3 linked regions of the Tamandua tetradactyla genome follow. The protein of the gene in region 1 interacts with the protein of each later gene in a pairwise test. Links are inferred from orthologs where the notes say so. Each region holds a gene or a part of one and is shown in the gene's direction. Other genes may lie near its edges.

Region 1 (7,258 bases):
AGTTCTATTGCTGTGGACATGAGCCAATGGCACGTGAACCTCATCTGTTGCTGATTACATCTGCAGTCAGCTAGGAGGCATGCCCGCTGCAATGAATGATGTTTGATTTTATTGGCCAGTGCTTAAATGAGAGAGCTCAACATAGCACAGCCAGAGCAGCTCAGCATACCTCATTTCAGCACTCACTGCTCAGCTCAGGCCTTTGGAGATGCAGAAAGGAATCACCTTGGGGAAAGTTGTTGGAATCCAGAGGCCTGGAGAAAAGGCCAGCAGAGATTGCCCTGTGCCTTCCCACGTAAGAAAGGATCTCAGTTGAAAGTTAGCTGCCTTTCCTCTGAAGAACTGTATGTTAACTAAATAGATCCCCTTTTATTGAAAGCCAATCTGTCTCTGCTGTATTGCATTCTGGCAGCTAGCAAACTAGAACAGACTGCTATTCCAAAAACAGAAAATAAGTGTTGGAGAGGATGCAGACAAATAGGAACACTCATTAATTGCTGGTGGCAATATAAAATGGTACAGCTGCTGTGGAAAATAGTTTAGTGGTTCCTCAGAAAGCTAAGTATAGAACTGCCATATGACCCAGAACCCCACTACTCAGCATATACCCAAAAGAATTGAACAGATATTTGCACACCAATGTTCATGGCAGCATTATTCATTATTAAAGATGGAGACAACCCAAGTGCCCAACAACTGATGGAATGTATAAGTAATATTCATACAGTAGAATATTATTCATTCCTGAAAAGCAATGAAGTCCTGATGCATGAGACAACATAGATGATTTTTTTTTATGTTTTGCATGTGCAGGCTCTAGAAATCAAACCCAGGTCTCTGGCATGGCAGGTAAGAATTCTGCCACTGAGCCACCATTGCACTGCCCAACATGGATGAATCTTGAAGACATCACGTTAAGTGAAATAAGCCACACACAAAAGGCCAAAAATTGTATGATTTTACTGATATAAAACAATTAGAACAAGCAAACTCATAAAGTCAGAAGCTAGAATATAGTTTACCAGGGGATTGGATGGGAATAGGGAATGGGAAATTAAGGCTTAAAATGTTCAGGGTTCCTATCTGGAATGATGGAAATGTTTTCATAATGGGTGTCAGTAATGGTAGCACAACATTGCTAATGCAATTAACAGCACTGAAATATCTGAATATGATTAAAAGGGGAAATGCTAGTTCATATCTATGGTAATAGAATAAAAATATTAACAAAAATCCATGGTACTACACTACCCAAACAGTAAACCTTAAGTTGAACAATGGACTATAATTAATAGAACAGCTATAAAAATGTGCTATCATCACTTGTATCAAATGTTTCATACCAATGCAAGGGGTTGGTGATGGTGTGCTGTATAGGAATCCTGTGTTTCATGCATGATTGTTCTGTAAATCCACAACTTCTCTAATAAAATAAAATTAAAAAAAAAGATTGATAGGTACTCACCATTCAGTAGCTCAGATTATATTAGTTGAAAAAAGGATTATATTGTTTTCTATATGGGAATTAAAGTAGGCTCCATGGAGGTGGTGCTAGGTAAGCCAAACTAATATTGTGATAACAGTTTGAAATCACCCATTATTTTCATGTGCAGCAAATGATGTATATATATATATATATTTTCACATGGGCAGGCACCGGGAAACGAACCCGGGTCCTCCAGCGTGGCAGGCGAGCATTCTTGCCTGCTGAGCCACCGTGGCCCACCCAGCAAATGATATTTTAATAAGAAAATACTACAGAAAAGAATATTGTTTTGTATATGGGCTTTTGGTGTTGCACCATTTCTTCCCAATATGACATTTAATTTTTTTTTTAAGGATTGATAGACTGTTGTTGATAGGCTGGCTTTTTACGGGGTGATCACTGAGGCAGTTGATGAATTGAATGGGGTCTGACTGCTATTTGTTACCAGGGCCACAAGGCAATCACTACTTTGCTAAGAGTTGGAACCTACTTTTTTTTCAAAAAGCAAAAGAATGTCTCTGATAAATCCTTAATTATGGCTGACATTTGTGAAACATCAGTGAACAAAATTATTTCATTGCTTTTTCCTCTGAAACGTCCAGGCTGCCTTCTGACCACTGGAGGGACTGTGGGACCAAACACACTTAGAGAAATCTTGTTTTAGCCTAAAGTTTTGGAGGGAAGGGGTTGTGCCTTGTTTATTTTTACAGTCTTGAGGCTAGGCCTAGCTCATAGTAGGTGTTTTCATTTGCTAATACTGCCAAAAATGCAATATATTGGAAATGGGTTGGTTTTCACAAAGGGAATGTATTAAGTTACCAGTTTACAGTTCTAAAAGGCCATAAAAATATCCAAGCTAAGGGTATCCAGAGAAAGATAACTTGACTCAAGAAAGGCCAATGGCTTGGAATACCTCTGTCAGCTGGGAAGGCAAATGGTTAGGGTATCTGCTGGGAAGGCAAATGGTTAGGGTATCTGCTGGTCCTTTGGCTTCTGGATACCCTGGGGCATTTTCTTTCTGCATCTTCAAATGGTCTCTGTGCGCGTTAGCTCTGAAGCTGTTCCGAAATGATTCCTTCTTAAAGGACTCCAGTAAGCAGATTAAGGCCCACCTTGAATGGGCGGAGATGCATCTCCATGGAAACCACCTAATCAAAAGGTCCCACCCACAATTGGGTGTCTCACATCTCCATGGAAACAACTTAATCAAAATGATCCCACTCTACAATACTAAACCAGGATTAAAGAACATAGCTTTTCTGGGGTACACAACAGTTTCAAACCAGTACAGTAGGTACTCAGTTTATAGAGGAATGAATGAAGTGTTAGAAGCCACAATCCTTAGGAATGGCAGAAGATAAAAGGGAAGCATTAGGCAGACAAGAAAACTCAAAGGCTTCACTAGGTTGCCGTGTGATGTAAATGTTTGGTTGATAGTACCACATTAATTTAGGTCATAATGTGTGTATCTTATGTGTTCAGGTGGGTATCATATCACATCATTGTCAGAGCCCCAGATATCTGCTCCAGAAGGATCATGAAGATGAAAACTGATGAAAGCATTTACATTAAAAAAAAATTTTTTAGTTAAACAGTTTTATTCACACACTATACCATCCATTCTAAGTGTACAATCAATGGCCCTTGGTATAATATGTATTCACCACCACAATCAATATGAGAACATTCTCATTGCTTCCGGAAAAAAACCCCATATTCCTTATTCCCCCATTATTGGCATTTAGCTTGGGTATAGTGCCTTTGTTACAATTAATGAAAGAATATTATAATGTTATTAACTATAAACCTTAGTTTACATTAACTATTTTTTTCTGTATACTACCCATCTTATTAACATCTTGTAATAGTGAGGTACGCTTGTTCTAGTTCATGTAAGAATTTTATTATTTTTTATAATTAACCACCGTCATTGTCCACTCTAGGTTTCATTAAGTTATACAGTCCCAGTTTTTATCCTCCAGCTTTCCTTCGGGTGACATACATTACCCCGGCCTTTATCTTTCAACCATACTCACGCTCTGCTTGTTACTCTCATTTACAAGCACTGTATTGTGCTTCCATCACACAATATTGTGCTATCCATTTCTGAACCTTTACAATCAACCTTATTAAGCATTCTATATTTCCTTAGCAAGGGAATTCCCATGAGATTCCCTTGCCCAATCTCTATCCCTTTTCAATGTCCTGGTAAAATGTGCTCTCAGACTTTAACTCCCAGAGTTTGCTCATTATAATTAGTTCATATTTGTGAGACCACACGATATTTGTCCTTTAATTTTTGGCTTATTTCGCTCAACATGATGCTGAGGGCTTCTTGACCAGTTCAGTGAATCTGAGTCTTGTGAGAAGGCAGTTTCTCTTGGCTCCGGAGTTGACACCTCCACTTGCCGCAGTCCCAGCCGGTTTACCGCTGTCCTCCTTGCTCTATTTCGTATATGGAGAAGGATGGCAGTCAAAACAGAAAAAGGGACCACAAACGTTTGTAGACCCCACAGGCCTTCGGACAGCGCTTCCTGTCCTTGTGAGTGGGCGGGTCCGGGAGAGAAGAGGGCTTGGTCTGAGGGTGGGCCACGAGGCCCAGGGTGCTGGCCAGCTGGCGAGACGGAGCCGGGCGCACGAGCCGCGCGGGGCTCGCATTGGCTCAGCTGGCGCCCCTCCTCGCGGGGCCGACCCGGTGCCGCCTTCAAAGAGGCTTCTCCCAGCGGCGACGACCGAGGCCACCTCAGCGACGGGGAAACATGGTCGAGTACGCGCGGCTCCCCAGCCGTCTGGCGCTGATTCGCCTCCGAAACCCGCCAGTCAACGCAATCAGGTAACAGGCTCGGTTATCTCCAGCCAGGGGCAGCTGCGGACTCGCCCGTCGGCCTGCTCCGGAGGCTCGGCCTCTCCCCTGCTGCTTTAACGTGAGAAAGACGCTAATGCGGACTGAGACCTGGTGCGCGCCCGGGCTCTTTGCATAGGTTAGCTTGCTCAGTCACCGCTGGGAACCCGTCCCTCTTTACTAGGAAGGAAACGGAGACTGAGGCCCATGGCGGCTGTAGGTGGGAAAGGCTGGGATCCAACGCGGTCTGTAGACGCCAAACTTTTCCGCTTCCTTACAGCTTCGGTTTTTCTGGCATGGATTGATAAGCAATGTGTTATCAAGGACTTTAGCACTTGGACAATAAAGAAGGTTAGCTTTTGTGTGTGAAGGTTCACTTGTGTGTGTGTGTGTGTGTGTGTGTGTGTGTGCGCGCACGCGCGCGTATCAACTCAGTGAGTAAAGGGGAACTGTGTCCTGGCCTAGAAATGCGGTTATTTCTCCTGATCTGTTCTAAACCTCAGGGTCTTAGGGCATCAGTGAAAAACCTATGTTAGAATTACACTTTAAGTAACATTTTTCTGAAAAGATTCTGTGCAATTTATCTTCTTTTATAACAGCACGGGGTAAAGTTCAACTTCCTTGTGAAACTCTTTAGCCCAGATCTGTGCAAAATACTTAGAGCATTACTTTTCAATGTGAGATTAGTGCTGTCGTCTTGAAAGTTAAAGAATTATTTTATAGGTCTCCATATCTCTGGAAAAAGTATACTGATACATCGGCCTCAAGAAAAGTCAGCCACCCATCTACAGGGAGTAAGATCAGAGAAATTATCATACACAAAGAATCATGTTGTATAAAGTGTAGAAAGATCTTTTTTTCTTTCTTAATTACTTGCCTGCTGAAGCTCTTAATCACATACCTGCTGAAATAAAAGAGACTGAATGAGGAGATCTGCTGATTTTAAAAATTTTTTGTATTTATTTATTTTTAATATGCCTATGTTTATTTGCTGGTCTGCAAATAGAAATGTCCTATTTTTTAGACTTTTAATTTTGAAATAAATTCAAGCTTACAGTTTGCAAAAATAATACAAAAACAATACAGAGAATTCCCAAATACCCCCACACAGATACCTAGATTTACCAACTTTGAAAATTTTGCCACGTTTGCTATATCGTTCTCTCTCTCTCTCTATTTCTCTATCTGTTGTATAAACATTTGACAGCACATTGCATATATCATTCTCCTTTAACACTGAATACTTCCATGTTTATTTCCTAAGAACAAGGATAGTCACTTAAGTAACCCACATTAAGTACAGTTAAGTTAAAGAAATTTAACATTGATAGAACGCTTACAACCTATATTCTAATTTTTGAATTGTCTCAAAATGTCCTTTGTGGCATTTTCTCCTTCCTTATAAGATCCAGTCCAGGATCATGTATTACACTTAATTGTCATTGTCCCTTTAATCTTATGCTCGCTCCCTCTCTCTTGCTCTCTCTCTCTCCTTTTAATAAATTGTGGTAAAAAAATAACCAAACAGAAACTCTGCACCCATTATACGTTAACTCCCCATTTCTACCACCCCAATCCTCATTCTTGGTAGCCTGTACTCTACTTTCTATCTCTATAGATTTGCATGTTCTAGTTATTTCATTTAAATTGAATCATAATATCTGTCCTTTTGTGTCTGACTTATTTCACTCAAGGTTCATCCACGTTATAGCTTACAACATAACTTAATTACATTTTATGGCTGAATAATATTCTAGTATATGTATATACCACATGGTGTTTATCCATCCAGCTGTCGATTGACACTTGGGTTACGTTGACCTTTTAGCTATTGTAAATAATGCTGTTGTGAACATTGCTGTACAAATATCTGTTCAAGTCCCTGCTTTCAGTTCTTTGGGTATATACTTAGAAATGGGGTTGTGGGGTCATATGGTAGTTCTATGTTTAACTATTTGGAGAGCCATCAGTTTTCTAAAGTGGCTTCACCATTTTACTTTCCTACCAATGAGATATGAAGATTCTTATTTCTCCATATCGTTGTGAACACTTGCTATTTTGCCTTTTTAAAATAATAGCCATTCTAGTGGATGTGAGTTGGTATTTCATTGTGGTTTTGATTTGCATTTCTCTAATGGCTAAAGAATCTAACATCATTTCATGTATTTATTGGCCATTTGTCCATTTCCTTTGGAGAAATAACTATGCAAGTTGTTTGCCCATTTTTTTGTCAATGATTTTTTTATTGAGATAAAATCATCCAGAGTATACAATCAGTGGTTTACAGTATCATCGTAAAGCTGTGCATTCATCATTACAATAGATTTTTGAACACTTTAATCCAAAAACAAAATTAAGAATAAAAAGAAAAAGAACACCCAAAACATCCCATACCCCCATACCCTCTATTGTTCATTTATTTTTTTGGTCTTTTTTTTTCTTACTCGTCTGTCCATACACTGGATAAAGGGAGTTTTAGTAACAAGGTTTTCATACTCACAGTCACACCTTAAAAGCTCTGTAGTTATTCAGTCATCTTCAAGGATCAGGGCTTACTGGATAACAGTTCAACAGTTTCAGGTGTTTCCCTCTAGCTACTCCAATGCACCAAAAACAGAAAGGGATATCTATATATTGTATAAGAATAACCTCCAGAAATACTTCTTACTCTATTTGAAATCTCTCAGCCTTTATTTTGTTTCATTTCTCTTCCTTCTTTTGGTCAAGAAGGCTTTCTCAATCCCATGATACCAGGTCCGGGCTCATCCCTGGGAGTCATTCCTATATAGGGGAAGGGCAGTGAGTTCATCTGCAGCATTGGCTTAGAGGGAGGCCATATCTGAGCAACAAAAGAGGTTCTCTGGGGGTGACTCTTAGGAATAATCATGAATAGGCTTAGCTTCTCCTTTGCAGGAATAAGTTTCATAAGG
Region 2 (7,578 bases), on another chromosome or scaffold:
TGAAATATGGCTTGAGAGGCTGGGGCCCAGAGAGATGGATGAGGGCAATAGAGGAGAATGGACAAGTGGGGCAGGGCACGGTCCAGATCTCATTGGAGGGAGTTTAGGTTTGATTCTGATGGTAGTGGGAACCACTGAAGGAATTTAAAGCATGCAGGGGTGGGGGTGGGGGACACAGGCAGCTTTGTGTTGTCAAAGGGACTCATGGTGGAGGGAGGAGGATGGATTGGTAGTGTGGCGGCACAGAGAATGAAAGAGACCAGAGAGGAGACTACTGCTGGTGTCTGGAAGGGACAAATTGGTGGCTGGACCCAGTGTGATAGTGGTGGAGATGAACAGAGATGGATTCAGGGGCTTTACTGAAGAGGAACATTTTGCAGGGCTAGATTCTCTGGCTCTGGAAAGTGAGAGGAAGGAAGAAGCAGGCATGACTCAAAGCTTCTGGTTTGAGCAGCTGGGTGGATGGTGGTGGCACCATTCGCTGTGCTGGGAACTATGTACGTTTGGGGGTGGTAAAGAGAGAGAGTTCAGCTTTGTGCATGCTGAGGGTGAGATGCCTGGTGGTAGACCATTAGAGGATTGACTGCGAAGGAACAGAAAACTGCAGGGAGTCAAGCAGAGCTATGTTCAAATCTCCTCTCATATTTCCTGTGTGGTTCTACATAATGAGGAACTAACACCTTCCCTAAAAGCTACATGCATGAGCCTGGAAGCAAACCTTCAGATGACTGCAGCCCCAGTTGACATCTGGACTGCAAGCTCATGAAATACCCTACCTAATCACTTCTAAATTCTGGACTTACAGAAACTGTGAGATAATGTTTATTGTTTTAAGCCCCTAAATGTTGGGGCGATTTGTTACAAAGCAATAGACAACTAATACAGAGGGTAAAATCACTAAGCACAGTGCCTCCACATAGTAGGGGCTATAGAATACATAGGATCTGTAGATCTGGAGTTCAGGAGTGAGGTCTGGGCTGGAGGGATGGATTTAGGAACCTTTGGCTTAGAGACAGTAATAGAATATATGGACGGGGGTGAGCCAGTCCACAGAGAGGGGCGGACGGGGAAGAAAGGGTAGCCTTTGCGGTGGTTGGGAACTGTATGCACCCCAGACAGTCATGTTCTTAAAGCTAATCCATTCCTCTGAGTGTGTACCTATTGTAAGTAGGATCTTTTGATAAGGTTACTTCAGTTACTTTATCAAAAGGTAACTTTTCAGAAGCATGGCTCAGGGTGGGTCTTAATTCTCTTTCTGGAGTCTTTTATGAGAGAATGAAATTCAGAAAAAGAAAAAGAAAGTTATGGAAGTAAGAAGCTGAAAGCAAAGAAACCTGGAAGAGAAGGGAGAGACTAGCAGATGCTGCCATGTCTCTTGCCATGTGGCAGAGGACTCAAGGATCGCTGGCAGCAGGTCTTTGGAAGCAAAGCATTGCCCTGATGATGCCTTGATTTGGACATTCTCATGGCCTCAAAACTGTAAGCTTGTAAGCTAATAAATTTCTATTGTTAAAGTCAATCCATTTTATGGTATCTGCTTTCAGCAACCTAGGAAACAAAAACTGCCTTGAATAGACACTTGGGTATGAAAGGTGGGTAAAGCAAGAGGAGCATTTCCATGAGTTTGAGAGGTGCTGCAGAGGAAGGAGGAAAACTAGGAAAACATGGCACCCTAGAGGCCAAGGAAGAGGCTCTCCCTAGGAGACTATGGTCAACCGCATCATTGCAGAGAGGCCAGTCTAAGGACATTCTTCTGGATTCAGCTTCCAGCAAGGCCATTTAGGTACAAAGGTGGGCCCTGAGATCAGATTTATTGTTGTGGGTTGAGGTGTTGGGGGAGATGGGGAAGACACCAAAAAAGAAAAAGAAAGGGAAAGAGACACTTGGGTAGGGATCAACACAATTATGTGATGATATTGTGAGCCACTGATTGTATACGTTGGATGGACTATATGATGCATGAAGACATCACAATAAAAATATTAATAAAACAAAAACCAAAACAGCTAGCCTTCCCCAACAAGCTGGCAGTCCTGCTGGGTTAAACAGCTCCTAACGTAAACCTTTTCTACTTCCAACTCCAAAACCAAGAGCTCCAGATGATTTACAGGAGAATCCTACAAAACACTCAAACTACAGAAAATCCCAGACTTATAGAAGCAGCTCTAGTTTTACAGACATACATTCCTTAATTTATTTTATGAGGTTTATGCAACTTCAATAACAAAACTAGACAAAGGAAATAATAAGAAAGAAAACAGGAGGCAAATCTTACTCATAAATGTGGATGCAAAAACCCTAAATAAAATATGAGCAAGCAGAATCCAGTAGTATGTTAAAAAAAATAATACATTAAAGTGCATTTATCCCAGGAATGCATGGATGGTTTAATATATAAAAATCCATGTGTGTGATTTATTACATTTAGAGAATTAGAAAAATCCCAAATTTGATAAAATTCAACATCTATATTCATAATGTTTATAATAAAGCTAGGAAGCAGAATAGTGTTTCTTTACTCTGTTAGAATATCTATCAAAAATCTACCACAAACCATACTCAGAGTTGAACCCTTAGAAGCAGTTAAGAACATGCAGGAATGCCCATTATCATCACTGTTATTCAACATTTTTTGGAGGTTTTAGTCAATGCAGTGAGACAAAGAAAAGGAAATAAAGACTGGACAGAAGATAGCAAACTGGCTTTACTTATAGACCCTATGATATATATTTTTTGACCCTATGATTTTTTACAAAGAAAATTCAAGAAAACCTGCAAACTAAATATGACTAAGAAAGAGTTCAATGTGTGCAGAATACAAGATTATCATATACAAACTAATTGCATTTCAACAACCTGCAATAAATTATAAAATATAAATTGAAAATATAATTTACTATAGCAGCAAAAAGTTTAAGATACCTAGAAGTAAGTCTGACAAAACCACTGATAAAATTAATCCTTTCTAGTTTTCAGTTGGGGAAACAGAAAGCCTCGAGAGGAAAAATGACTTTTGAAGGGTACCAGCAGGTAAGAAGAAGTTTTGGATTCTCAACAGTACCAAATCTCCGAGTCTTGAGTGTTGGGTAATTTTGTTATTGTCTTTTTGTAAAAGCTAAAATTCATTTTACTTTCCTGATTACAAATTCAATACTCATGCATTCTAGAAATTACAGAAAATTTAGAACACTAAGACTAAATAAGTAACTCTCAATCCCATCCTACTATCTAGAGAGCGATGATCAATGATTTCATATATTTTCTTCAAATTGTTTATGTATATTTGTTTTAAAAAATAAAATTATACCACAGATACCATTTTGTATACTGATTTTTTCACTTGCATTTCCCTATGTCCTCACTTAGTCTCTGTGAACATAACACTTGATTATGTTGATGAAGCATGTATCATTTAACCTATCAATTTAAGTTTTCTGAGAAAAATAAAATGCAAATATGACTATGATAATCAAACTGATAAAAGTTAAACTGAAAAAAAAAGTTAAACTGCAGAGTCAACTCATGCACATGTAGACAAGATATGTGAATAAAAAAGGAAAATGGCAGGACCAATATCACATAATAGACCCCACCTGGAAGGGGAAGTGATCTGGCTAGCAGGAAGAGAATGGGGTTTGGAGTGAGGAGGCTGGGGACCGAGTCCATGCTTGGAGACCAATAACGTCTGAGACTTTAGGTAATTCCCCAATCTCTGCACCCTTTGTTTTCTACCTGGTTACTTGGGAGCAGTAACCACGCCAGCTCATTTGGGTCACTGCTGAGCTCCTCCAGGCCTCAGGGCCTTTGCAACAGTCCTTTGCTCTGCTGAAGTCGGTGCTGCCCTTCTTCCCTTCTGGCTGCCCCTGCTGTCCCCTTCAGCCTAGCTGCCCCGCCTTACCGGGGCCTATCCACCAGGCCTAACAGGTGGCCCCAGGGCTTCCTCACATCCCTTATTATCCCTGTATTTACACAACAGCGGGATGGCGCTTGAGTAACAGTCCCCTCTCTCACAAAAGGCAGGGCCGGGAAGCGCTGTCCCCAGGCCTCGTATCCAAATCGTCTTTGGTCACCGCGGCTCCTTCTTATTTTCCATCTAAATCCTTGATCATGCCTCTTGCAGCACTTATTATAATGTGTCTTTATCTTATCTACTGGCTCTTTCCTTGAGTCCTGTCTGTCTTCTCCTCTCATTAGGACCCGCCTCCGTCTTTGTGGCAGTTGCACCCTCCTGGCCTGGCCACATGGTCAGGGCTCCATAAATGTCACAGAAATAACTGAGGAGAAACAGCTGTGTGGTCACCAGCCCAGAAGACGCGGCGAAGAGTAAGCCTGGGGCTGGGCCCACCCGGGCTGCAGGTCCCGACAAATAGAAGGGGCGGGGCCTGCGGCTTTGGGGAGGAGCCTCGGGACTTCGGGGGCGGGGCTTTAAGGCGGTGGCACGGCGGGCTTGACCGCGCCGCTCAGGCCCAGCCCTGCTGAGCCTCTGTGGCCTCCTGCCTTCCGCTGCCGCTGGGGGACGCCCGCGCTCGTGGCGCCGCGGCTCGGCTGGGGAGGCGCCGTGCGCTCTGGGCGGCTGGCGCCGCAACTCCGGGCTCAGGCTCATTCGTCCTCTCTGCTGCCATAGCCACCGGGCGCAGGTTCGCTTGTCCCCGCGCTCGCGCTCTCGGGCTGTCCGCACCTCCCGGCCGGGCTGCCGCCGCCGCCGCCGCGCAGTGAGTGGGGAAGGAGCGGCGCCTTATAGGGCCGGGGCTCGGGAGGGCCGGGCGTAAGGAGACTTCCTCTCCGTGTGGTCGGAGCAGCTGGGTTGAGGAGAATCTGGGCGGGAGAGGAGCGCTCGGAGTCGGGAGATGGTGGGGCCGTGCTGAGGGGACCACTGGGAGCCCGGGCCGCGCGCCCCGCGCCCCGGGGCGGGCGCTGCCTTGCGGCGGGGCTGTTCGCGGCCGAAGTGCCGGGCCTGGGCGCGGGTTCCCCGGCCGACTCGGTGGGGTCGCGCGGTCTCTGCAGTCTGGGGGCCCGGGCTCCACCGCGCGTTCTCAGCGGGAGATCGGCGCCCCCCGCTGGGACCCGGAGCATCGCCAACCCCACGCCGGGATTGGGGTCGGAGTAGGGGCTTCGCTTGCACGGCTATCGCTAATCGCTTCCCTGACGGGGGTACCTCGGGGTTTGCTCGGAAATTATTGTTTTGGGCGGTGGTGCTTTTTAGCCACCGCTTGCTCCAGTTTAAGGCGGACAGCAGGGCTATTGAGCCCTCTCTTCGGGAATTTTCTGCCCCGAAAAGATACCCAGATGTGCAGCTGAGCTCTTTATGCCCACGTGTGTATCGTGGCAATTTTAAACGCTTGATGTCAGAGGTGGTAAATGGCTGTGGTATTAGGGAGTCCCTGAAGCACCTGCTAGGTCGACTGGGGTGGGAGTTGAATCTGGGGATGGGATGGGGAAAATGAAACGTGACAGACATCCTATTTGGATATTCTGCTGAAGTTAGCATGTTTCAGTTCAAGTACACTGGAACACAGTTGATAAATCCAGTTTTAGGACTTTGTAATAGAAGAGGCTTGGGTGGCAAGGAGATTCGTTTGGCTAAAAACGTCTGGGGTAGCCTAATGCTTCTTACTATTTTCCCCTGGCATGTTTATTATCTCACTGTCATAAATGCTGAAGTACATCCCAGTATTCAGGATATACGAAAGAAGCTAGGGGAAAGCATTTAGCACAGGCCTGACCCCAAGATCGAGATGTTTTCAAGTGAACAAACATGTAATTAGTAAGAAGGAAAATAATCTTTGTACAGTGTTTGGTGGACTGAGGGAATTTGCTCTTTGGTTTTAAACTATCAGTCCACACTGATACATCATTTTGTGGTTAAGCACAAGCCTGATAAGCATCAAGGATTTAGTGGTCAGGATGGCCATAAGTGCCATTCGTAAATTTTGTGGGATTTGAATTTTCATAAATCTTATTTTAACAAAAATACTACCACATAAAGGAATCCTAGGGTGAATCCTATGAATTGGTGTTATGCATCGTTTGGATTTTGCTATTTGGGATTTATTTAAAATGAAATACACCTATTTGTTTGGCTCTTGCTTTACCTTGGAGATAAGTCCTGAGTCATGCTTTAGAGAAGCTCCTGCTGTGGTTAAGAGCTTAGATGTCTGATAGCCTCTGTACAAGCTGGATGCTCTTGTTTACCCATAGTTCTCTCTTCTGGAGTTTTGAGGAAAAAAGGAGCTGGGGGAGATTAGAAGCAGATTAATGTGGCCTTCTCCATAATTGCCTTGTCTCTAGGTCAAATGCTGTAAATTATTTGTGTTCACACTTTCAGGTTTACATATTTATCACAGGAATTTTATTTATGCTACTGCTATTAGTGTTTTTACATTTGCATAATACTTGCCAGTTTGTGATGGTTTTAAATTTAGGATCTCAATTGTTTTCTCCATTTCCCCAAAGGAGAAGCTTTGCGAGTGATTTAACTGGAGTGGTTTACTTTGAGAGTGATTTACTCAGGGTCTCGTAATTAAGCGGCATTGGAATACAGATCCTCACTGTCAGTCTAGCCCTCTTTTCCTCTGAGCTGGTGTGCATGTCACTTCAGAACACTAGTCCTGATGCCTTTATTGTTGTGCCTAACATGTATGGTGTGATTCCTTTTGGGAAGGTGATGTTATTCCAGTTTCATCTTGCAGAAACTGAGGGTGAGAGGAATTTTATGCCTTTGTGACTGGGGTCATTCAGCTATTTAGTATTAAGGCCACTTTTCAACCTAGACCTTTCTTCTGGACCACATGGTTGAGAGATGAGAAAGAGAAGATAGATTTAGGAAAACATCCATTTTTTCAGTGGCATAGTTAAGGGTAGCCTAACATTATAATCACATTCTCCTTGTGCTCCTGGCTACTTGTGCCGGCCTGTATGTTAATCCAGAAGACTCTTTAGATGTTGTTGAACTAGTTATTATAAAAAGTATTTCACTTTCAAACACCCACGTTTCAAGAACAGAGCAACTTATTACAAAGATAATTTTAAAGCTATGTATAGGTGGAGGGAATTTATTTGCATCGTCTTTTCTGAAGGCCAGACACAAAGGTTTCAGTAGGGTGCACTTTTTAAAGAGCTACTTGGAAACTCCAGGAAGGCAGGTAGTTATGGTTTCTATTATTTATTTATGGTTTGGAGGTGTATATTGCAAGGTACTGGTTGTTATATAGGAGTAGGACTTTTGCCCTGGGCAATTCTTGGTTTGTCAGAAATGAAAAACCCAGAATATTTGCATTGAATTGGTTCTTCATAACTATAAAGCTGTAATTGCAATTCTGTAGTGGTAAGAGTGACTTTTAGGGATTCTTACATTATTGTTTAAGTTATTAACATGTTAAATTGTGCGTTCTTCAGATTTGCCACTTTAGACAATTCTAAACAGTTGCTTTTTAGGCTTCTATAAATTCTTCAGTGTGTGTTCCTTAACTTAATTACCTGCTAGCATTACACTCAGAATTTCTCCATGAGTGGCAATTAATCTTGGAAGCTAAATTTGGGTGAATTTATTTATTGGGTGCTTTATTTTCTCTGGGAGGG
Region 3 (7,632 bases), on another chromosome or scaffold:
GTGTCCCAGGGGGAGTCAGGCCTGGGGCCCTCCCCCAGCCATTTCTCTCCTCTGCATTCTGGAGTCAGGTCTGGGGGCAAGACAAGGCAGTTTCTCCCAAACTCCCCCCCCCCCACCAAGGGCCCTGCCAGCCCCCTGCCCCAACACCCCTAGCCTACCTGCCTCCTATGGAGAGACCCCCTGCAGAGGTGGGAGCCCCTCCCACCCCCTCCACTCACTGCCTATTAAGGGTCCAGGGCCAGGACTGCCCCAGCTGTGGGAACATCAGCTCTGATACTGAGGATAAGCAGCTGCGCCCCAGGAACCTACCATTTCTGGGGTGCGGGAGTGGGGACAGTCTCAAATAAATAGCAACATTCAGGAGGGGGTATGGTCCTGGAGGGAGCATGAGGTCCCTTCCTGTGCAGAGGGCAAAGGTCAAGAGGAACAGGCTGTGACTCTATTTCCGGACCCCCTCTGACTTCATGGGGTTCACCCTGTGTTCTGTGGCCCCTGCGGTTCTCCTCACCCTGTACGTGCCCTGCTGAGGGTCAGATGGAGGGAAGGCCTGTGTGGGGCAGGAGTGTCGGGTCTGACACACACTGAGCCCATCAAGCTTTGTCATCATCCAGAATGGGCAGCCTGAGGCCTCATGGTCAGAGGAAGGGAACACCCGAGCGCAGGCCGGGGGAGTGGGGTGGGACGTTTGCAGGGCCACCTGGTGGCCTCCTGCCTTCAGGCCCTTTGTCCAGTGCAGGAGGGCTCCCAGCCTCAGAGCCTGATGGGCACATGTCCCCCACGTCACCACCCACCCCTTTTTCTTACAGTCAAGGAGAACAAGGCATAGAGAAGCTTAAACAAGCCAGGCTGGGCCTGGAAACCAGGTGTCCTGGCTCCTGGCCCAGTGCTCCTTCCGGAAGCCTCCATGGCTCCTTTGCACTGAAGCAAGGCAATGGGGACGCTGGATAAACTCCAGTGGGCTTCTCCTTTCATCAGAGGGTCCAGCGCCCTCCATCCCCGGGGGGAGCCAGGGAGCTGGGGAAGCAGCCAGTCTGCCAGACCTCCGGTCCAGGCACACGCTCACCGCCAAGGATGTGATGTGCCCAGCTGTACCGTGACCAACTGAATGGCCAGGGGTACGATGTGAGCTTCAGTTTCCCCTCCAGGAATACAACCTGGTTGCAAAGCCCCCCTGGGACAGGGACTGGATAACTCACAGAAAGCTTGTGGACGGCGCACAGCAGGACAAACGGTAGCGGGGCGCAGGCAGTGCCCACAGGGCCGCGGTGGTGGCTGTGGAGAGGAGGTGGGGCGGGGTGGAGGGGCCTCGCAGCCCAGGACACACTGGGCTGGACCTCCTGTGCTCTAGGGTGTACGGGGCAGCCAGATCCTGGCCTCACCTGCAGGGCAGCCCGGGGGACGGCAGCTTAGCACAGACAGAGCCTCTCAGGGCGCCCCTGCCCGTGGGAGCTGCTCAGGGTGCAAGAGAGGACTTTAGGCATCAGGAACCGGGGAAAATCCCCCTGATTTGATCTGTCTGCAAGGGCCTGGGAGAAGAGAAACATGAGCTGAGGACAGGCAAACTTTTTTTTCCCTTGGATTTTTAAAATAGACTTTTTATTTTGGAATAATTTCAGATTTACAGTAGAAAAACAGTAGAAACAGTTCTCACAGACTCCCAGTTTTCCCTAATGGCAACAAGTAACATAATCAAGACACTAACCAAGGGATTAATTGGTACATTACTACTCATTAAACTCAACTACTTGGATTTCACCAGGCACTTTCGGTTCAAGGTCCAATGCAGGATACGTGGGTGCAGCCGGTGGAAGAAGGGAAGGAACCTGGGCAGGTGCTGGGAGGAGGGTGAGCTGGGGGCCATGTGAGGAGATGCAGAGGTGACTGCTTTCCCAGGGAGTGTCCTACAGAGGCTGGGGCAAGGAGAGAACACTGGTGCAGAAAGGACTTGTGGGGAGGACCCTGAGGGCAAGGCCACCTCTGGGGCCGCTGTTTTCTCACCCACTGAATGGGTTTAAGATGAAAGGAGACAATGGTCAGCAACACAGCAGGGCGGGGATAAAGACCTAGGAAGCCAGTACCGAGCTGGCTAGGCCGGTGACTTTGGGCGAGGCCTCGCACTGCCCAGAAGCAAAACAGAAAAATCGCGTTGTGGAATTCTGCACGCCCCCACCCCTGCCCCGGGAACCGCCGTCTACCTGGGAGCCCGGACCCCCACCCCCGGCCCCGGCCACTCACTCGGGCTTCGGGCGGTGCTTCCCGGGCGTCTCCGCGCCCCCTCCTCCAGGCCTCCAGCTCCGCGCCACCCCCGACCCCAGCTCTCGGTCCAGCCGGCCTCGCCCCTGCGCTCCCGCACTCGCGCGGCCCGCCCCACGGCCCCGCCGGCCAATCCGCGGCCTCCGTGACTAAATAAGGCGAGGAGCGCCGGGCCCGGGCGCCCCCCGGCCGTTACTTCCGCCCCCACTCCCCGCCCGGCCGGTGACTCAGGGCCGCCGACAGCAGGCACGGGGCGGGGACGAGGCTGCGCCCCGGCCGCGGGCTTCCCGGCGGCGGCGGCGGCGGCGGCGGGCGGGGCTCCCGCGGCGCCGAAATCGCCAAATATGGCCGCGCCGCCGCCGCCCCCCGCACCTGCGGCCGCACCTTGGCACCCCCCAGCCGGTGACACATCCGCGGAAGAGGAAGAAGCTGCCCTTCCCCCTCCCCCACCGCGGCGGACCCAGGTTCCCCTCATCCCCACCCACTTCCCCCACGACCCTCCGGCGGCCCACCTGGCCTCCGGGCTGTTAAGGGGGTGCAGAGACAGGGGTCCATCGGTCCTCCGCTCCCTCCTTATCCCCCCCCAGGAAGCAGCCTAGGAAGCCGGGCGCAGCGCCCCCTCCCCGGCGCACTCGCAGACAAAGGACTTTTAGAGGAAATTTCAGTCCGACGAGGTGGCAGGCACCCCTACCTCCAGCTGAGTAGAGAGAGGGCCTGGCAGACACCTGCCCCAGGTCCCTGGAGGTGCCACCGCGACTTGGGCCCCCAGCGGAATGCCTGTCCCCTATTGTAGCTGCATGCCGGCCCGGGGTCGGAGTGGGTTTCCTGGAGGTCCGTCCCCCCCCACCACGTTCTCCAAGGATGGGGAACGCGCTCCGTGCGCCTTGACCGGCCCCTGGAAAGTCTAGGAGGATGGAGACTCAGCGAGCCCCTGCCAGGCCTGGGAGCTCGGTGGTCTGGGGCGTCAGAGAGGGGCGGTCACCAGCTGGCCGGGCAGGGCTGAGGGCCCCAGCCCGCATGGGCGGGGCGGGCAGGTGAGGAGTCCGGTGCCAGGCACCAATTCTCCCACCCCCAGACACCTGCCCGATTGCAGTGCTGACGGCCTGCGACCTTGGACCAGGCCCTTGCCTGGCTGTGCCAGGCTCCACCGCCACCCCTGGCCGGCCAGCGAGGTTCCTCTGTGACTGTCAATGTTTAATATAGTTTTATACTGAACAATTCTGGAAGCTTCCAAATAAGCCCATGGAAACCACGAAACCTGGTTTTCCCCTGAGTATACAGACCAAAGAATCTGTGCACGCAGGGCTGCCAGGGCCCATGTCATTTCATGTAACTTCCTGGGGGAGAAGAGGCGCCCTGCACCCGGGAACAGCCTGCAGCCCCGGGACCTGGCTTCGGAGCACGGGGCTGGGGTGGCTGTGCCTGGAGGTCCCTAGGCTCCTTTCTGTTTTGGTCCCAGCCCTGCCCTCCTAGCTCACAGAGGACACAGAGTAGTAGATGGGGGCCCCCACCCTGTCCAGCAATGGGAGCTCAACTGTCCCGGATTCCCTCGTTCAACCTCAGTTTCCCTACTAACTCCACAAGGTGGGCACCCCTGTACTGGGGTGAGCTGGCCCCAAATCCAGCGCGGCGCCCACCCCCGGGGGCCATCGGGCCTGCAAGGCAGCGGTGCAGAGCTGGGTGACAAAGGATCTCAGGGTCGGCGCCTCTGGGTGGCCCGGGCCGGGCGCTCTCCGCTTTCCCACGAAGGGACCTGGGCACGGCGCAGAGCCGCACCCTTCAGCGCGTCGGGCCCGGGTTGTGCGCGCGGGCGGCCGACTGGGACCACCGCCCAGTCCCCTCCCCCAGTCCGGCCTGGGAAGCGCCCTTGGCGGCCCCGACTCTCAGCCGAGCTCGAGAAGCGGCTCCGCGGGAGGTGTCCGGAAAGCAAAGCCCCCAGCCGGGCCGGGGTGGGGGTGAGGGTGGCACACCCCGGCTTGGGCAGGCTCCGCGCCCAACCCGGCAGTTTCGGGGCGCAGCCGGGCCCCTCCCCCACGGCGCGGCAGTCCCGGGGCGGGGCCGGGCCGGTCAGTCCCAGGCCCTACCGTACACCCCAGGCGATGTCCCCTATCTTGCGGTACCCGAATCCCCGCGCCTCGCGTCCCCGGCCCTGCCCCTGCGGGGTCCCGGCGCGGCGGGGGCGGCGCGGGCGGCGCGGGCGGGGCCGTTGGGAGGCGGAGCGCGCGGGGGGCGGGCCCGCGCGCGGGTTCCCACGTGCCCCAGGCGGGCGGGCCAATGAGCATTCGGGTTTCGGCAAGATCGCCATATAAGGACATGTTCTGGGCCGCGCGCGCCGCCGGTCCACGCGCGCGCCCCGTTGCCGCTTAAATAGCGGCGGGGGAGGCCGCGCTCGGTCTCACTCGCCGCCGCCGGCCCCGCTCTGTGTTCTCGCCGTTGCTCCTTCCGCTCCACCGCGCCGCGGCCGCCCGTTTCAGGTAAGGCCCGGCTTGCGCGTTTCGGCCCCGCCCCGCGGTCTTCCGGCACCCCTCGGCCGACCCTCGTTCTCGGCGGAGAGGGCTGGCGTGGGTCTGGGGAGAAGGGGCGGCTGGCGGGTCGGGCCCGAGTCGGCAGCCCGTGCTGTGCTTCCCGCAGAGTGAGCGCTGCGCCTTGGGTGGGGGGTTTTCGAGGGCGGCGCTGTGGCGCGGGGCGGGGTCCCCTACCGAACGCCTAGGGTGGGGGTCACGTACAGCGTCCAGGCGGTTACCGAGCTTGGATTGGGGGTTTGGGGGTCCCGCCAAGCGCTCGATCCTGGAGGGGTCGCTGACTCGGCCGCCCCGCCCCGCCCCGCAGAGCGCTATGGAAGAGGAGATCGCCGCGCTCGTCATCGATAATGGCTCCGGCATGTGCAAGGCCGGCTTCGCCGGGGACGACGCGCCCCGCGCCGTGTTCCCCTCCATCGTGGGGCGCCCCCGACACCAGGTGAGCGCAAGGCGCCAGGGTCGGCGCGGTTTCCACTCGCGGCGCCGGGCGGAAGGGGGGGGGCGGCGGGGGCCTGACGCGCAGTGTCCTCGCAGGGCGTGATGGTGGGCATGGGCCAGAAGGACTCGTACGTGGGCGACGAGGCCCAGAGCAAGAGGGGCATCCTGACGCTAAAGTACCCCATCGAGCACGGCATCGTCACCAACTGGGACGACATGGAGAAGATTTGGCACCACACCTTCTACAATGAGCTGCGTGTCGCCCCCGAGGAGCACCCCGTGCTGCTGACCGAGGCGCCCCTGAACCCTAAGGCCAATAGAGAGAAAATGACGCAGGTGCGCGCTGGGTGCTCGGACCCCGCCCCTGCCTCCCGCACTATTTTTTCTGTTCTTTATTTTTTTTTCTCGTTCTGAAATTCAAGTGTCTCTTTCGGTATTTCCAGGACCCTGTTCCTCTCCTGGCCTTCCCTCCCTGAAGCCTCAAGGTTTCTCGTGTGTGTTCTGCCTGCGTTTCTCTCCCTTCCCCTCCACTCCCCTGGGTGGCATGCTGGCCCGCGTGTGAGCATGGGGGGTGGCGGCCCTGGCCCCGCCTGAGCGCCCCTTTTTTTTCGCAGATCATGTTCGAGACCTTCAACACCCCTGCCATGTATGTGGCCATCCAGGCCGTGCTGTCGCTGTACGCGTCCGGCCGCACCACGGGCATCGTCATGGACTCCGGCGACGGCGTCACGCACACCGTGCCCATCTACGAGGGCTACGCGCTGCCCCACGCCATCCTGCGTCTGGACCTGGCCGGCCGGGACCTGACTGACTACCTCATGAAGATCCTCACCGAACGCGGCTACAGCTTCACCACCACGGCCGAGCGCGAGATTGTGCGCGACATCAAGGAGAAGCTCTGCTACGTGGCCCTGGACTTCGAGCAGGAGATGGCCACGGCTGCCTCGTCCTCTTCGCTGGAGAAGAGCTACGAGCTGCCCGACGGCCAGGTCATCACCATCGGCAACGAGCGCTTCCGCTGCCCCGAGGCCCTCTTCCAGCCTTCCTTCCTGGGTAGGTGCCGGGGACCTCCTTACTCCCCAACCCCCGCCCCGGGGCCTTGCGGGCGCTGAGGGGGCGTGGTCTGTCTCATAGGCATGGAGTCCTGCGGCATCCACGAGACCACTTTCAACTCCATCATGAAGTGCGACGTGGATATCCGTAAAGACCTATATGCCAACACGGTGCTGTCGGGGGGCACCACCATGTACCCCGGCATTGCCGACAGAATGCAGAAGGAGATCACGGCGCTGGCACCCAGCACCATGAAGATCAAGGTGGGTTCCGGTCCCGCCCCCGCTCCCCCTTCCCCCCAGCTGGGAGGTGGCCTCGGGTCCACTGAGGCCCTCTATTTCTTTTTCAGATCATCGCGCCCCCGGAGCGCAAGTACTCGGTGTGGATCGGCGGCTCCATCCTGGCCTCGCTGTCCACCTTCCAGCAGATGTGGATCAGCAAGCAGGAGTACGACGAATCGGGCCCCTCCATCGTGCACCGCAAGTGCTTCTAGACGGACTGCGCTGGGCCGGGGTCGCTGCGGGAGCCCGTGCGGTACGCGGCGGCCCGGACGCGCCTTGTGCCAGTCTCGCGAAACTGGAATAAGCCTTCGGAGAGAAACTCGTCTTGGAAGCCTGTCCCGTCAGCACTGGAGCGTAGAACTTGTTGCTGATCTTGATCTTGTATTCGAAGTTAACTGTTTCCTTGGTATATGTTTTAATACCCTGTACATATCTTTGATTTAAACCCCCACCGTCATGGCTCGGGCACTCCGTGACCCGGGTGAGGTGTGGAGAAGTGCGGGGGCTGTCTCCGGCCCACGCAGGCTGTTGGCGCGGGAGCCGCGGCTATGCCGGGGTTTCTCCGGGTTCCGCGAGCGCTCTGCCGGGTGCTCGCTCCGCCTTGCTGGTCCGACAGGTGGGGAGCGCCCCGAGCCTTGGGGCCCAATCTCCTTTCTTTCCTGATGTTTTCCCTCCGGAACACCGCGGCTCGCTACTTGCCCTGAGGTGGAAAACGGTTTGCATTTACACCTGTAAATTTATTCATCCTTTAATTTATGTAAGGTTTTTTGTACTCAATTCTCAAATCTTTGAGAGATGACAACAAAGTTTGGTTTTCTACTGTCATGTGAGAACATTAGGCCCCAGCAACACGTTGTCGTGTAAAGAAAAATAAAAGTGCTGCAGTAAAGAGGCCATTGGCTCCTGTCGTGGGGGGATGGGGGCAGGGGTCTTGGAAGCTGCCCGGTAAACTCCATTTCTGAAGAAGCACCGATTTAGTTTCTCCCAAGCTAGGAGCTGAGTGTATAGGAAGAAGGTCTCATTGGGTGGGCCTGGTTTTGGGGGAACCCCTTAGACCACCTGTATGTGGCAGCCCACTATCCCTGCAT

The links.
Region 2: the proteins of EHHADH (region 1) and KCTD6 interact in binary tests that used the Homo sapiens proteins (3 or more experiments, as listed by UniProt). The two-hybrid records come from large-scale screens. The link is inferred for Tamandua tetradactyla from reciprocal best matches to the Homo sapiens genes EHHADH and KCTD6.
Region 3: the proteins of EHHADH (region 1) and ACTG1 interact in binary tests that used the Homo sapiens proteins (3 or more experiments, as listed by UniProt). The two-hybrid records come from large-scale screens. The link is inferred for Tamandua tetradactyla from reciprocal best matches to the Homo sapiens genes EHHADH and ACTG1.

The regions. Positions count from the first base shown.
Region 1 is NC_135336.1:3,928,800-3,936,057, reverse strand, and holds the start of EHHADH (peroxisomal bifunctional enzyme), read left to right. Parts: upstream 1-4,176; 5' UTR 4,177-4,245; coding exon 4,246-4,319; intron 4,320-7,258. UniProt on the Homo sapiens protein: Peroxisomal trifunctional enzyme possessing 2-enoyl-CoA hydratase, 3-hydroxyacyl-CoA dehydrogenase, and delta 3, delta 2-enoyl-CoA isomerase activities. Catalyzes two of the four reactions of the long chain fatty acids peroxisomal beta-oxidation pathway.
Region 2 is NC_135341.1:26,375,662-26,383,239, reverse strand, and holds the start of KCTD6 (BTB/POZ domain-containing protein KCTD6), read left to right. Parts: upstream 1-4,538; 5' UTR 4,539-4,637; intron 4,638-4,678; exon of another isoform or gene 4,679-4,712; intron 4,713-5,036; exon of another isoform or gene 5,037-7,578. UniProt on the Homo sapiens protein: Probable substrate-specific adapter of a BCR (BTB-CUL3-RBX1) E3 ubiquitin-protein ligase complex mediating the ubiquitination and subsequent proteasomal degradation of target proteins.
Region 3 is NC_135332.1:73,752,696-73,760,327, reverse strand, and holds ACTG1 (actin, cytoplasmic 2), read left to right. Parts: upstream 1-4,592; 5' UTR 4,593-4,727; intron 4,728-5,082; 5' UTR 5,083-5,088; coding exon 5,089-5,211; intron 5,212-5,306; coding exon 5,307-5,546; intron 5,547-5,824; coding exon 5,825-6,263; intron 6,264-6,344; coding exon 6,345-6,526; intron 6,527-6,612; coding exon 6,613-6,756; 3' UTR 6,757-7,436; downstream 7,437-7,632. UniProt on the Homo sapiens protein: Actins are highly conserved proteins that are involved in various types of cell motility and are ubiquitously expressed in all eukaryotic cells.